Lytechinus pictus: one gene and its partner. The protein of the gene in region 2 purifies or fractionates together with the protein of the main gene of each other region. This does not show direct contact. Links are inferred from orthologs where the notes say so. Each region holds a gene or a part of one and is shown on either strand. Other genes may lie near its edges.

Region 1 (7,891 bases), on a different chromosome or scaffold from region 2:
TGGTTGAACAACTCAAGGGACATGGTGGCTCGGTGGTAGAGCGCCCACCTCATGAACAGGAGGTCGTGAGTTCGATCCCTGGCCTACATTTAGTCTTGCCAAAGACTTTAAAAATGGGACCTTATGCCTTCTTGTCAGGCGCTCGACGTATGAGAATGGAGAAGGGTAATAATAACAATAATTATGCAGGGCCAGCTGGAAGAACAGCTTACAACTGAGAGTGGCTACCCTGGGTAAATTATTATCATTATTATTATTATTGACACTTTACTTACTTTGCTGGTTTTAAATCCCTGTGTATTAACTTCTTTGGCGTCATACAGTGAAGGTAGTCGACCCCCTTGGCACACTGCAAGGCCCAGCTCATGGCGTGGGCAGCCTTGTAGATGGGCTGCGGCTGGCTGCTGTGAAGGACATTGTACAGCGACCCGCCCTCGGCATACTCCATCACCAGGCAGACGGGGCGGGTGGTGCACGCCCCGTAGAGCTTGACGATGTTTGGATGGTCCACTCGGGAAAGCTGCCTGACCTGAAATTTAGATTTTTTTTCAGTGAGATGTGCATCATCATTATTGCCATTATTCGGCATCAACATTATAAATATTGTCTTCTTCATCCTAAAATCGTATGTTCTCAACTTTTTTTTTTGCATCAGCAGCAGCATTATCATCATCATCAACATCACCGTTATCATCACCACCATCACAACCATCATCATCATCCTTATCACCATCATCAGCATCATCATCATCATCATAACCATTAGTCAATTACCATTTTCATCATCATCATTACCATCATCATCACCATCATCATCACCATTATCATCATCATCACCACCACCATCATAAAAAACAGTGGCATATTGAGCCAAATATTTTAAGGTGGCAGAAAATTTGTTTAATAAGTTGCAAGTGAGGAACAAAAAAAATTACAGCATTTTTAATACGAGTAGCTAATTTTGTTAGACTTTGACAATATATTTCACCTATTTCCTGTCCTTTTTTCCCTAGTTTATATCTTGGTCATGGAACTGTTTTGGGGGCCTTCAAAAAGTAAAAAGATATACGACTTACCTCGACTCTGAAGGCTTTGATCTCCTCTTCTGATTCGATCATCTTGACAGCCACATTCATAGATCGCCATTTTGCTTTACTTACTACTCCAAACGCTCCTTTGCCTACGACCTACATGTACAAAACAAAGTCCAATTATATATAATGAATGCTCGACCTAACAAATTTCATTTAGAGACAGTGATATGGAAATGAGAAAGACAATGATGTTCCCACTCACTATTTCTTTTGTATTTTTTATTGTCTGAATTATTCCATATTTCATTTTTTACAGGTTCGACAATAAGTACCAACTTCACTGACCCATAAAACCTTAAAACAATGGTAAATTCACATGTTCAAGGATGAATAAAACTTTCTTTCACAGGACAATGGGGAGAAAATTAGAATAGGGGTCTAGAAAAATATACCATATTTCATTATAATAAAATACAAAAGAAATAGCGAGTGGATGATGACATCAGTCTCCTCATTTGCATACCGTCCAGGATGTGCCTATAATAAACTGTTTTGTGAAATTAAAGTGATCATTTCACTTTGTTCCGATTTGAAAAATTATCCTTTTGGTTCCTGAAAATGGGCTAGACATGAGGCTTATAGTGTAAAAATACTAACCCAAAAGTTTCAAAGTATTATATTTACAGGATCAATTTTAAAACCTTGGAGATGTAAACCAAAGTTTGAAATAATTGGGAGTTGGTTTCAATGACTATGTGTATACAGGGAATCTGTGCACAACACATTAATTCTAGATGAACACAGCATGACCTACATACAGTGTGTACAAGGTATACACTGAATGTACAGTGCAGCTAATAGTGTGTGTATAGGAGATACACACAACAGAAGGCAGTCAAAATAGCCAACGGACTTTTTGAATTGGAGAAAACTGGTCATAAGCTGAACCCGTCTACTAGACGGTTCTCAAAATCAGGCTAATAAATTGCTACTTGTATCTAAATTAGAGTTTTTCATCCTATATTGTGGTCTGTTTCAGGGTTTTTGAGGACAAATAATGGCACTCATACGCACGTTTCAACTCAGTTTGAGAATTTTTTAAATCAGCTGCTCACAAAGTTAAACGATCCCTTTAAGCGAAACTTTAAAATGTCATAACTTTCTTATTTTACATCCAATTTTGATGAAATTCTCAGTGTTATGTCTTATGCTTGCACTTGTTCATTATTTAAGTTGTATGTTTGAATTTTCTCTTTTAATTTTATCAAAATAATCTGTTGGGGTGGACTTGTCTTATATAACAATACAAACTGTTACCCCCAACATTTCTTGAACCCATCCAGGACCATTATTTAACTTTAATAGCTGGGAGCTCAGCATTAAAAAACTTTGAGTAATAGCCTAATAGGCAATATCTATTCCCTGCTTCTGCATCATATAGTGAGTGATTGTATTACCGACCGGCCTTGTATTACCGAACGCGCGCATCATATGCGTCAGAAAATAATCAAATACGCTCAAACCTTTACAACATCCTTCAAAAGGGAACTTGAATAGAAAAATGATGGAAAATGATCAAAAACACAATTTCGAAGTCTTTATATCCTCAAAACAATAATATATGGTCAAAATAGCTCATCAGTGACTTTGTTGTTTTCCCAACTTTTCCCATAGAAAACACACGTTCGGTAATACGATACCTTTTTCAAGTGACCAAAATATTTCACTTGCGGAGCCGGAGAGAGGTCCGATTGGAAGCTGATGTCGTAAAAATGAAAAACAATTTCGGCAAAATTTCTGCATATTTATATCTTGTAGGTATTTGTGTATTTATGGTGAAAGTTTGGTGAATTTTATTGGAATAATGTGTTTGATATGATCAAATTCATGAAGTGTTCGGTAATACGATCCACTACCATACATGTACACCGCACAAATACACAACACAGCACAAATAAAAACGTACCGGACTACATGTAAACTTTACAATGCACTCCACTGCAATGCAGTCTGTCTGGTGTCCCCACCCAACACACAAAAAAAACAATTAATGCAAAGGTCTTACCCTCTCAAATTCTAAATCGTTGAAATCAACTTCCTCCTTGAAGCTCATCTGGGATTCCAGGCGCGCCATTTTTGTTAAATGCTACTTTATTCTGGAGAAATAAAAGGTTTCATCCCGATACGACATCTGTTTCGCCGCACCGAGATAATTCACAAAAGGGAATTCCCCATTTGAAGGGCGCTGGTGCGCTGGCGATCAATCGACAATCAATGTCAATGATTTACAATAATGTTACGGATCAGTTTGATCTAAAATACAACTTAAAAAGCCAAAAATATTTGCAACATTTTACCTTCCTTTGAGACCCCCCCCCCCCAAATAAAAAAAAATGAATTGAAAATGCATCACAAAACTCTATTCTATTGATTTCTTTTTAATTACGAACTACAAATTTGTTTGAATTTTTTTTCACTCAGACCCCCCGCCCCTTCCTCCCCGGCTTCCTCCAAAGTCCAAACAAACACCAAATATTCTCGTTAACACAACGCAAGACAAAAAAGACCAATCTTCTCGGGCTTCAGTGGAACAAAACACGAAACAATCAAACAAATAACTAGACAAAAAAATGCAATCTGTCAAATTATTTTCGGTGCAAAATACGGATCTCTGAGTTCTCTCTCTTTAAATAGTGCGTAATAATAACATTAAAAAAGTAGTTTCAGTAGTTTCAGTAGAGAAATCTTATCCATACAGCCCTAACCTCGAATCTCCAACGTACGTTTCTACCAATCAGCAGGCTCCTCCTCCTCTCTCCAGCCCACCCCCCCCCCCCCCTCGGCCCCTCTCCCACTCCTCTTTTTTTCCTCTTCAGTTCTCCCCCTCCCACCTTCTCTTCGATCTTCGCTTTCCATGATTCGGGCTTCCTGTTTTGTTTGTATTTGATTTATTTATTTATTTTGTTTATTTTTATTTATTCATTTATTCATTTATTCATTTATTCATTTATTCATTTATTCATTTATTCATTTATTTATCTATTTATCTATTTTTTTTTTTTTCTTTCTTTTTTGTGGGGGGTCTTGTCCCGGTTATGTACGTGATTTTTTTTTTTTTTTTCATTTTTCATACACTTTCCCAAAAGGGGTATGATTGTTTAAAATTTCAATGGTGTATAGGCATAAATAAAGAGTTTGACCCGAGTCGTATTATTGAAACTTATCAATTTGCAACACTGAATAAAATTTATATCTCGATGTCGAGTTATTTATTGCATAAACAAGCTGTTCTTTCGAAAGCATTCCTTTTTGTGTGTAATTTCTGTATTATATTTTTAGACGATCTAGGGGATCTTCAAACTTCCACCTACCCAAAATATCACCTCTTTAGCAAAGAATTGTATGTTTTACAAAGGACCAATATTATCTGGAACAAAATACCACTTTATGTTAAATCTATCATTAAATGTTTTTAAAAGGAGATCAAAACCCAACTTCTCAGTAAATATTCTAATAATGTTTGACCAAATTTTCTTTTCTCTTTCGCCTTTCGTTTTTTGGAGTAATTATCTTTGTGTCATTGTGTTAAAATGTGTATTTCCCCCTTTTATGCTCAATCTGGTATTCAGTATTCATGACATCATGATTATACTCCACAATATCATATATTCAGTTTCCAGTTTTTGTGAAGGTGGCAGCACCAATAATTGCATTTGTAATTGCCTCCGCACTCATTCATAAATTATGAATAGGGCCTACTTTTTTTTCAATTGTTTTCCAGATTTTATAATTGCATTATCATCACGATTATACGATTTTTCCATGTAAAGTATGTTAAAGGTCAAGTCCACCCCAGAAAAATGTTGATTTGAAATAATAGAGAAAAATCAAACAAGCATAATATTGAAAATTTCATCAAAATTGGATGAAAAATAAGAAAGTTATGACATTTTAAATTTTCGTTTATTTTCCACAAAACAGTTAACAGGACAACAATATGATTGCATAAAATGCCATAAAAACAAATTGCATCATGCATGGTCCGGTCCGGTGTGACCTACTTTCACCATTATTATGCAGGTACAGGTGCGCCTTCACCATTCAGTTGGTTATACCGCGCCCTGATTGGATAAAAGTTTTATTCCGCGCAGGTGCCATTGTGATGTCACACTTAACGAACTTTTAGATTGTGACGTCACAATGGCACCGACGAGGAGTAAAAACTTTTATCCAATCAGAGCGCGGTAACCAATGGGACGGTGACGACGCACCTGTTTGTTATAGGCCTACTTTAAAACCTTGTAATGCGGATATGTTTCATTTTCATGGCTGCGTTTGCAAAGAAATAAAAATTATCACAGAGGCTGCTTCAATTCCTTATTCCGATCTGAAAGAGAAATACAATCACATCACATTAGGATAGTACGGATGAATAGGATTTCTCCATGGCCCTGGGAAGCGGGGGTGCTGATTTCTGCACCCGGACCGCGATTTTCCTTGGGGGTGCTGCGTATATTACAGGCGCTAGGCAGCACCCCTTGGAGTTCTGGTAGGTGTTAAAAAATTGACAAATGTAACCAAAATTACTTATATTTTGTAGTGGAACCTTTTTTCTTTTATCTTCTTTTTTTCTTGTCAAACTTCTCGGGATCAAAATGGCCTTCAATTTGTTGTGAACCCCTCCCTCTTTTATTTTTGCTTGTCAAATTTACATCAGCGACCCTACTACAAAATCGTGCCCAGGGCCCTACACTGTAAAAAAAAAACATTGAATCAGTAGTTAACACTTAATGTATTTAAGTAGAATTTACAATTTGTAATTATTTTTCGTTGTTTTTAAGTAGTTTCAACTTGTCTTTTAATTTACTTGATTTACTTGATTTATTTGGGTTCAATATACATTTAAGAAAATTCGCGTATTGATAGCTTGCTTTGATTGAGTAAATCTAACTCAATTAGGCAAAGATGATTATTACTTATAAAATAATGTTGAATGTACTTATATTTTCAATTAACGCCATATTTAAATAATGCATGAATATTCATTAGAGCAAGTAAATGTTTTTTTTTTAATAACTGTCATTTCTATTTGTGTTTGAAATTGTTTTGGATAAGGGTGTGCTAACTATTGTATTCTTTTGTTGAATCAAAGAAAAGGCAACATTAAATAGTCATTTAGCAGAAAATTATTCTCACTGTTTTATTTGTAAGAATGAAACGATCGCGTATAAATATCAATGTCAGTACCTATACATGTACAGGTAAGTGACAATTCACAAAGTTTAATATTTGGATAAAACATGTATAAAATGAAAATGATGCCACCAAAAGTGGGACGATGGGGGAGCGGACTTTCGAATCACGAAAGTCCATCCACTCCCCCATTTGATATTTTCAAATATTTTAGTGATTGTTTTACTTAATTGAATTAAGTTATTGTAACTTAATTTTCTTGAGTAAAATGGAAGCAAAGAAAATAAGTAAATTTTACTTAAAACTGCCAAAGTCATAAATACTTGAAAAAATTAAGGCAATTTTTTGCCACAATTTTATTAAGTAATTTCTACTAATTTTTTTTTACAGTGTAGATTTCTCCTTTAACGTTTGATATCGATGTTGATTGCTACTATACTCTAAAATCAATTAAGGATTTTAAATAAATCCAGATCGGCTGTGAATAGTGACCAGCCGAATATTAGATTTAGTTTCAAACCTTGTACACTGAAATATAAATCTAAAATATTTGAATTTAAATCCTTTGAGATTAGTAAGTTAATCCTAAAGATTCAAAATAAATCCAACATTCGGCTGGTCACTATCCACAGCCGATCTGGATTTATTTTAAATCCTTGATTTTTAGAATGTATCCTTCTATGGCTAATTTAAACTTGACTGTGCATCTTGAATTAGTGGTATTTAAATAACCCATTCCATCAAATTCGTCAATCCGATTTTTTAAACATTTAAAAATCACTTTGCCTCTACAATTTCTCGAGGTAGATTGCTCCAATCTCTTACAACTCATGGAGTAAAACATTACTCCTAACATCCAGTCTTGATCTTTTTCATGAAGAGTTTTGATTGTGTCCTCTGGTTACTCTGCACTGTACACAGTAAAAACGCTGTTTAAGATTTTATGCAACGCTGTTTACTATATGAACCTTATATACAGTATTTGTTTAACCGTTTAAACAATCATGTTTAATTTATTGAAAATAAGATATTGAAAATTAAACTTTGTTGCTTAAAATTTAAACAGTTGTTTAAACTGTTTAAACAATTACTGTAAGGTTCATATAGTAAACAGCGTTGTATAATCTTTTTTTTACTGTGTAAAAAAATATTTCCGGCAGAATTTCAAGTCGACCCGTCAGAATTTTGAAGACTGCAGTCATATCACCTCTTTTGTAGATTGAGTGCTTTCAAACGTTCTTCATAATTTAGCTCTCGATCGTAGAACTCAGTGAAGCTTTTTGTTGCTCTTCGTGTTGCACCCCTGGTTGCACCTTTTCTACTTTATCTTAGTCCAATTTATGAATGCCACAGTTCAATGTTATCATATTCAAGATGAGGTCGTACAAGTATGGTGGACAAAATGGGAAGCATATCCTTTGATATTTTCCGAAATGTTCTCTTTATCATTCCTTCAATTTCATTTGCTTGAATCTGGATTTGCCACATTCTGGTGGAAATCTATTTCCTTATCAATAATTACTCCGAAGGTCTTTGGCCTGTCCGACTCCATTCATTGTGTGGTTCTTCTTGAAGTTCTTTCCCATATATATGAACCACCTTACATTTAAATTTCCAACATTTCCATCTTTTGGACCACTTAGTTGATTTGGATAGAAATACTG
Region 2 (8,244 bases):
ATTGGTTTGTAAAGGATATCACAGAATGCTCCTTTATGAGGTATTTCCTGAGCTCGTTCTATCATTCTGATTTGATCGATGGTCTTGACATCTGGTGACAGACCTCCATGTACACACAGAACCTGCTCATCAATGATCTTGCAAAGACACAAAGGAGCAATAAACAATTAGAAATTTAAATTTATGGAATTACACTCTTGAAACCAGATGAATTGCATCCAAAACTTAATACTTGAAAATTGAAAAAACAGATCAATGGATGATTAAGAAAGATTAAATTAATCACAAAGTTATAAAGGATTTGAATATTGAGAACTTAAGATCACTAAATGCTTTGGAGATCCTCACATTGGCAACGTAAACAAAATGTACAATTTTTTATGTTGCATTTTATAAAGATGTCTTTTGTTCTACAGGAATTTACATCTTCTCAAAAATATACTACATACATATAAAACTTCAATTCACGTTTGTTTCTTGTCTTCATGCACCATTTTGTCTCTTGACAACAATTAATGCAGTAAGTTTCATTCCAACTGCAAAAGTCACCCTATCTTCAAATCCCCTCTCTCCCACTAAAAATCATCTCTTCAATTTAATAATATATTCACATCATCACATTTGGCAACCTCATCAACAATAAAACAATTTTCTTCACTTGAAACTTACTGCAGCGATTGTGAGAAGATCAAAGACTTTGGTGCAGTACCTCCATGCATTAGCATTTCCATATTTCGTCTGACATTCATCTGAAAATGAAAAAAAAGGGAGCAGTTTAGAGTTTTCACATGTCATTGGTCATGTTTCACTACAAATAAATTAGAAGCTACAAGGGCTAACGGCTCCTTGGTCTAATAATAGTTGGTCTAACACCAGTTGGTCTAATTAATCCATTATTTCTCCATGAAAATGTGTATTTTTTCAATCAACCCTACTTTTAATTGTCATTCAACTGTCACCCTCTGCCGATACTTGCAGGGAGGTATAGGACTACCAGGCAAAGATGCAGCCGGATTAAACACAACACCATTTCAAGGGCCATATTGTTTTTGTACAGTAGTCTGCCTCTCAAAACTATGTTGTCTAATCCGGCGAGATTTGCACCTGGGCCCCGTCTTACAGAGTTGCGATTGATTCGATCAACCTCAACTATATGGAAATCCATCATTGTCATAATTTTTCCTATCAGAAATTTGCACAATGTCCTTTGTTAACAAAGAGAAAGCATAACAAATTGTCAAGACTAAGATGAATGTATTAAAGGGTATGTATCGTATCTAGAAAATATTTTGAACAAACATGCATTTTAGATATGGGCGTTGCTGGCTTTCCATAGTTGTGGTTGATCGGATCAATCGCAACTCTTGTAAGACGAGGCCCAGGAATTACAACCTCTGCTATAGCAAGCACTCCATCCAAAACTAACTCATTGAAATAAATGTATGTCTTCTGTTCAGCCCTTGCGTACATGTTAATATATGACAATACATGTATTTCTATGACACTGACAACTTTGCCTTCTCTTTTTGATACTTCTTTCTCTTTCAACTACAAATTCATAATTTGTTATACCCCTTCTTATTCCTGTCAAATTTTCATAAATACATTTTGTTTTTATAATGGTTGGCAGGCTCTGGAATAAAGATGGCTTACCATAGAATCCATAGACTTGTGTAATTTGTCTGCTTTCATGATTCCCTCTCAACAGAACAATACGGTCTGGCCATTTTGCTTTTAGTGTGAGTAACCTAGTGAATGTCTCTAAGCTGTAATAACCTCGGTCTACAAAGTCACCCTGGAAGGGAAAGAATGGATGGGATTTATCAAACAAAGTAAAAGTCCTATCCAATCCAATGGTCATTAGAAATATCACATTTCCTTTTGGTTGCAAAGCACTGCAGACACACAACTCCAAGTTTGGGCTAGTCAAATAATAATTCAACACCTCAGAATGGTCAGATTAGTCCATGCAATTCATTGTCCTCATTAGCAAAATAGATGGAATTTAATGACTTTCTTGAATAGCCATAAAATTGCCATTACCTATCTTTTACCTTTTTTTTTACCTAATTTTTTTTCAAACTATCAAAATCTTCATAACAATGATTTTTTAACCTTTGTTTTCATCTTGAAATTAATTTTTTTTTTTTTTTTTTGGGGGGGGTTGTTGTATGCACTTTGATCAATAACGAGATCGGGTCCACATAACATAAAGCTCAGTGATGTCTTGATAAGTTTCCCCCAATCAAGTGATAAAAAAAGAATTTCTTACCATGAAAATATAACTTGTATCTGGGATCTGACCACCAGTCCTGAAAAGCTCTTCCAAGTCATAAAACTGTGAAATGGGGAAAAGAATATTAATAAAAATACATGAACAAGTACTTACTAAATGAAATATGGTAAAACAAATGGTGTCTAGGTAAAAATTATGAGACACGATAAATTGGATTTGTCTGAAAAAGATGAAAAGCAAATGTTAAATGGAATACTCCCAAAATAATTATGATATGTATACATGCAAACAAAAAAATCCTTACTTCTTAGCATCATTGAGAACACAGTTATGATGACTCTAATATCTGGACATACAGTAAAGGGCTAAAAGTGATTTTATGCGATGTGGTGGGGGGGGGGGGGGAAATGAAGATGGGATGGTGCAAGCAAGGATGGAAGATGAAGGAGAAGGGTGAAGAATAGAAGCGAAAGAGGGGAAGAAGGATAATGGGGAGGAGGAGGACTGATGAAAGGATGAGCAGAAAAAGAAAGGGGCAAGGAGAAAGGAGATGATGAGGTAGACAGAAAGGAAGAAAAGAAGGACACAGGGAAGGTAAAGACCAGAAAAGATTACGGGACGGAAAGAAAAGGAAAAGATTAAAAAAAAGGATAGGGAAAAAGTATGACCAACAAGGAGCTATCATCTAATTGAAAATCTAATGTAACAGTTACATCAACAAAACCGACCACAGACCAATGAAATTTACTTGTATGTTATTTTAAATTCTCAGATTTCTATTTCGAATAAGAAAAAAAATATGGATATCATAACATTGGTCAATTGGAGTCACTTTTGTTGTTGTGAATGCAATATACCCAAGAAATTTACCTGTCCATGTATATCCCCACACACTGTAACTGGAGTTGATACCGGTTGAACGTTGCATTCCTCTAACTGCAGGTCACATACCACATCACACAATTTCTGGGGAACAAAAAGTGGAGAAATAATTTGATTGAAACACCAAATGCAGAATCAGGGATTTAGAAAAGTACCCATGGTCAAGGAAAAGCAATTTTTCTTAAAAATTACAAAGACATGGCTATTGCCATTATTCCCATCCGATTCACAAGGGTCCAAGGTAGAAAGGTTGTAAAAATATCATCCTATAAAACAAATATCTCACCACCCCTCCCCCTTTTGTCTTAGCTGAAAACGAGTGTCGCTACTTAAGGCGAGCACATAATACGCCCGTCTGTAAAATGGAAAATGGAGTTATTGGTCAAGCAAGAAAAGTGGAAGGTGGCGACTTGACCTTTGACCTTTTGACCTCAAAATCGATAGGCTTCCTGGGATCCATGCTAGTATCATACACACCAAATTATATGAGCCTTGGTTAAATTAAAGTTATCGCGTTTAGAAGGATTTTAGAAGGGTATTAAAGATGAAAACATGTCGGTGTGACCTTGATTTTTGTCCTCAAAATTAATAGGTTTCCTAGGATCTAGGCTAGTATCATACACACCAAATTATATGAGCCTAGAATAAGTTAAACTAAATATCACCTTAAGGACTTCAGAAGGGTAAGATGAAAACATGACAGTGTGACCTTGACCTTTTGACCTCAAAATCAATTGGCTTCCTGGGATACAATTACATGCTAGTTACATACACATCAAATTATATGAGCCTAGATTAAGTAAAATTGAAGTAATCTCCTTTACAAGGACTGCAGAAGGTTAAGATGAAAATATGTCACTGTAACCTTGACCTTTGCACCTCAAAATCAATAGGCTTCCTGGGATCAATGCTATATATCATAATGATAATACACCAAATTATATGAGCCTAGGTTAAGTCAAACTAAAGTTATCGCGTTTACAAGAAAAAGTTAACGGACGGACATTGAGCGTGATATACGTTCCGTCTAGGACGGGCCTATAAAAAGTGATAGGTGAACATAACTTGGCGATTACATATTGCTAAATCATGGTTAATATAAGACCCCTGTTACACATACGTTTGCAAGTGGACTGAGGCCGGCCCCGGAGGCGGCTCGACGTATGTGTAACATCAACTTTTTTTGAAAAGCCGGACTGAGGCCGGACTGAGGCCAGGTGGACTCAGTCCACCTCTGGATGTGGTTTGAGGCCGGCCCGAGTCCGGACTCAGTCCCGCAATCGGTAGGTGTAACACCAAAGTGGACTCGGCGCCGGCTTATAAGCGGAAGTGACGCGACCTGTCATCATCAACAATGCATCGGCCGGGCGCGCTTTTGCCATTTGGACCAGGCATGCAGTATATATTATAGGTAAGCCTCGCCCCGAGCGTAAAATTACATTGTTTTTCATCATTTATTGCTTTAAATTTTAATTTCCTCATATCCAGCAGCCTGCACTAAGACACGACATATTCTGTACTGGTGGGCTAAAAGTTTAAACCGTTTATTCCTGGTATTTTCTCCGAACAGAACTGATGAGTGATGGTGACTTGTAATTCAGTCCCATCCCTATATTTCTGTGGGTTTGGGAATTATGATTTTCGATCGTCTGATCATTTCCTGTTTATTTCGATGTTTTTAAATACATCGCTACTGTGATTGCACCATCTGAAGAATGATCATTATTTTTTTGTTGGCGATGATAATTTATCAATACTAATAGACAGACTAAAAACAATAGCCTGGACAGGAGTGCCATACATCATGAGCCGTCATAATTTTTCTCATATGATTATGAAATTATGACTCATCATCATCAGACTCGGAGTCAGACTGTCAGAGTTAATACATCATCTTATGCCTCAAACAAAGTCATCATGATCATGAGGCATGAACTTGATGAAGTATTTAACTTTGATTTTGAAGGCATGGCCAGGGGCAGGCCAGGCCATGAGACATGAAACTAGACAATTGCCATTAATTATTTCAAATGCCAATAATCCACTCAGTCGGAGTCGCACATAGTCAGAAATTGGACATGAAATATGTCGCTAGACATTGAAACAAATGAGTAGGGTCTAGATCTACATATAAAATAGTGTCTGCCTGTAAAATCCCCACAAAAAAGAAGTAGACTAAAATAAGTAGATTCTAGCGGTGAGTGCATAAAACAATGTTAATACAGATTACAGTACAATAATATACACAACTCTAACTTCGAAGTCCTATCCCTAACCAACCAAAGTCATCAGGAGGCCGCGTACTCTAGGATGGACGCCGGGGTCTGCGAACCCTAACCCTAGCTGTAACAGACTCTGCGTACCTTACTATTATAGTATTAACTGTCTCTATAATTAACACTCTAGGCCTACCATCTCTAAATGATCATTAAACCGTCTCTAAAATTATCACTAGAAGCAAATTGTATTAAAAATTGTATACATTAACAGATTAACACGTGATATGATAACAAAAGAAACTTGTAAATAAAGTATGAATAAGTTCTTCTTCCACCGGTATTCAGAGATCAGCGGCTGGCCACGTGTTAGTTGCCGAGCTGTAGGAGTTTATCTTGATGGACTTGATAGATTTTTAGAATATTATTTCCCATATTTTGTATACTATATGGATTTCTAGATAGTTATTTTAGAAAGTGATTTCCCATATTTTGTATACTTTATTTATATTAGTTATGTCATTCTAAGTCATACCCATATTTTTCAATTGTTTTATTCAATTTTAGTGATGGGTACATATGGAACTTTAGCGGAATAATTTGTCCATCGATCATCAAATGTTACATAGCAGGGGGAGAAGGGCCTTCATATATCTAGGTGGTCGATCAATCTGAATCATTAAATTTGAATTTTTGATGATATTCATGTCAACTGTCCCCTGACAAGAGAAGTTGTTGACAAGATCAAAAATCCTAAAAGGTGATTAATAGATGTTACACATAATTTTATATAATAATTTTACCACATCGTAATCTTTGTGGTTACCATTATTAATTTGTATTTGTATTTGTTCTCTCATTTTAGATCAAAATGGCACCAACAGGGAGAGGGAGTCTGTGGGAAGATGTGGAGACGCTGTGCCTCCTGAATATTTGGCGGGAGAAAAACATTCAAGAACAGATGGATGGCACAGTAAGGAACAAAACGGTATTTCGTAAGATATGCCAATTGATGAAAGAAAGGGGGTTCGAAAGGGCAGAGGACCAAATCAAGCGGAAAATTAAACAACTAAGAGCGTCCTTCCGAAAGACGGAGGACAATAACAATCGATCAGGCAGGGGGAGAATTACATGTAAATTCTATAGCGAACTGCAGGAGATCTTTGGGGGCAGACCAGAGACTGCACCAGTTGCCATTCTGGCGTCGCAACCAGAGGAGGAGGATCAATCTGAGTCGCTAGACTCGGTGGACTCTGATTCACTGCCGAGAGAGGAGGAGGAGGATGGAGCCGAAGAAGATAGAAGTATAACGGATGATGAACTGGAGGAAAATGATGTGGAAGCACCAACAGAATTGGGTAAAGGATTCCTCTTCCTTTTTTCATTTGTAATCACATATACATGTTTATTTGTATATACATGTGTAATTATAAAGACTAATCCTTTTTGGCTCTTACCCTCTCAGTGTGAGCATTTAAAATAAACATTATTGGTATCATTATATTGTCTTGATGTATCATTTTATACTGAGTAATATGAAAGGAACTGATTTGAATTTACTAAAATAAAAATGTATTGAAAGTTAGCCTTTGTTTTAAAATGTTTTTACTTCAGTGACACATAACAACATAAAAATTAGTTCCCCTTCATTTTATGCATAAAAATGAAATGTTTATTATTGTAGTCACTTATTGTAATCGCTTTTCTATCCCTCATTTTCTTTAGTTGGCAATTTTCCACCGGAGGATCTAGAGGGACCTTCAACATCATCTGCTAATGGACGTAAGGCAACTGGTAATATAAACAGATTGTTTCCATACATTTGCTTATTTATAGTTCATATGATATTTGAATTCGATTCAGCAAATTTTCAAGAAAAGGGGCCTTTTACATCCCGTTGATGTTGCTTTCATGCAGTATGATTTTTTTTTGCAACTCAAGGTTTTCTCACTTGATTTGTTGTATTAGCTATTAGAAGTGTGATATTGCATGCCTTATGTCAAATACAGAAAAGTATGTGTGTAACAAGTTGAAAGAAATAAAATGATTGTATACCTTTCTTACCGCTATCACATTTGATTGATTTTTTTTTATTTACGATGTATTTTATACTACCTACTTCATAACAGGGGAAAAGCGGAAGAAATCAAAGCTGCAGGAGTCCTTCGGACTGATAGCCAAGGAGATAAAGACACTGGAGGAGGACAGTACAAATGCCTTCAATGCTAGGGAGGATCGGTTCATGCAGCGCCAAATGGAGTGGGAGCGTGAGCTCCTAATGAAGGCACAGCGTACTGAAGAAAAAAAACTAGAGGAGAAGGAGAGGAGGAGAAGAGAAGAGAGGGAGCATAGAGAGCAAGAAAAAGAACGTGATAGACAGCATCAACTCCAAATGCTTCAGGCCTTAATGGCTGGTATGCGGCAGTCGTCAACTTCAATGTGGCAGCAACAGGGAAACAACTCCCAGTCCGGTCCAGAGCGGTCTCCAAATTCCTGGCCCTACAATCACGATTACACTCCACTGTAATTGTTACAAACATAATGCATTCTTCAAGTGGAGGAGTGTGTGTGTTTGGAATTCCCACGGTGGTAAACATGTATTTGTCATATGAGATGACACTTTTCAGGATTTTTGTTCATCACAATTTCTTTCCTCAGTACTTGTTGCTGCATATCATTCACCTGTACTCTTGCCATGCTGAAACCCTTGTTTTTACTTAGCCATCCATCTCAGTGCTGCCAGAATCATTGCCAAGGGCAAGGGAATTTACATGTAAATTGTAGATGTTAGTACTTTTTGTTCTTAGCACTTATAGATTTTTATAAACATATAACTTTGTTTTTATGTAGTTCTTTTTTACATCAAGTAACCATTTACTTGCTATTGGAACTTTTGTACATCTGTATATA

The links.
Region 1: the proteins of serine/threonine-protein phosphatase 6 catalytic subunit (region 2) and mitogen-activated protein kinase kinase kinase 7-like purify together in Homo sapiens (affinity purification with western blotting; 3 studies listed by BioGRID and IntAct, with this or other methods). This does not show direct contact. The link is inferred for Lytechinus pictus from reciprocal best matches to the Homo sapiens genes PPP6C and MAP3K7.

What each region holds. Positions count from the first base shown.
Region 1 is NC_087248.1:22,971,685-22,979,575, forward strand, and holds the start of mitogen-activated protein kinase kinase kinase 7-like, read right to left. Parts: upstream 3,267-7,891; 5' UTR 3,169-3,266; coding exon 3,100-3,168; intron 1,188-3,099; coding exon 1,077-1,187; intron 530-1,076; coding exon 276-529; intron 1-275. UniProt on the Homo sapiens protein: Serine/threonine kinase which acts as an essential component of the MAP kinase signal transduction pathway. Plays an important role in the cascades of cellular responses evoked by changes in the environment.
Region 2 is NC_087259.1:23,572,444-23,580,687, reverse strand, and holds the start of serine/threonine-protein phosphatase 6 catalytic subunit, read right to left. Parts: upstream 3,199-8,244; 5' UTR 3,107-3,198; intron 2,339-3,106; 5' UTR 2,276-2,338; coding exon 2,273-2,275; intron 1,796-2,272; coding exon 1,654-1,795; intron 750-1,653; coding exon 670-749; intron 138-669; coding exon 20-137; intron 1-19. Other genes in the region: trichohyalin-like, read left to right, coding at 6,206-6,692, 7,060-7,128, 7,464-7,861.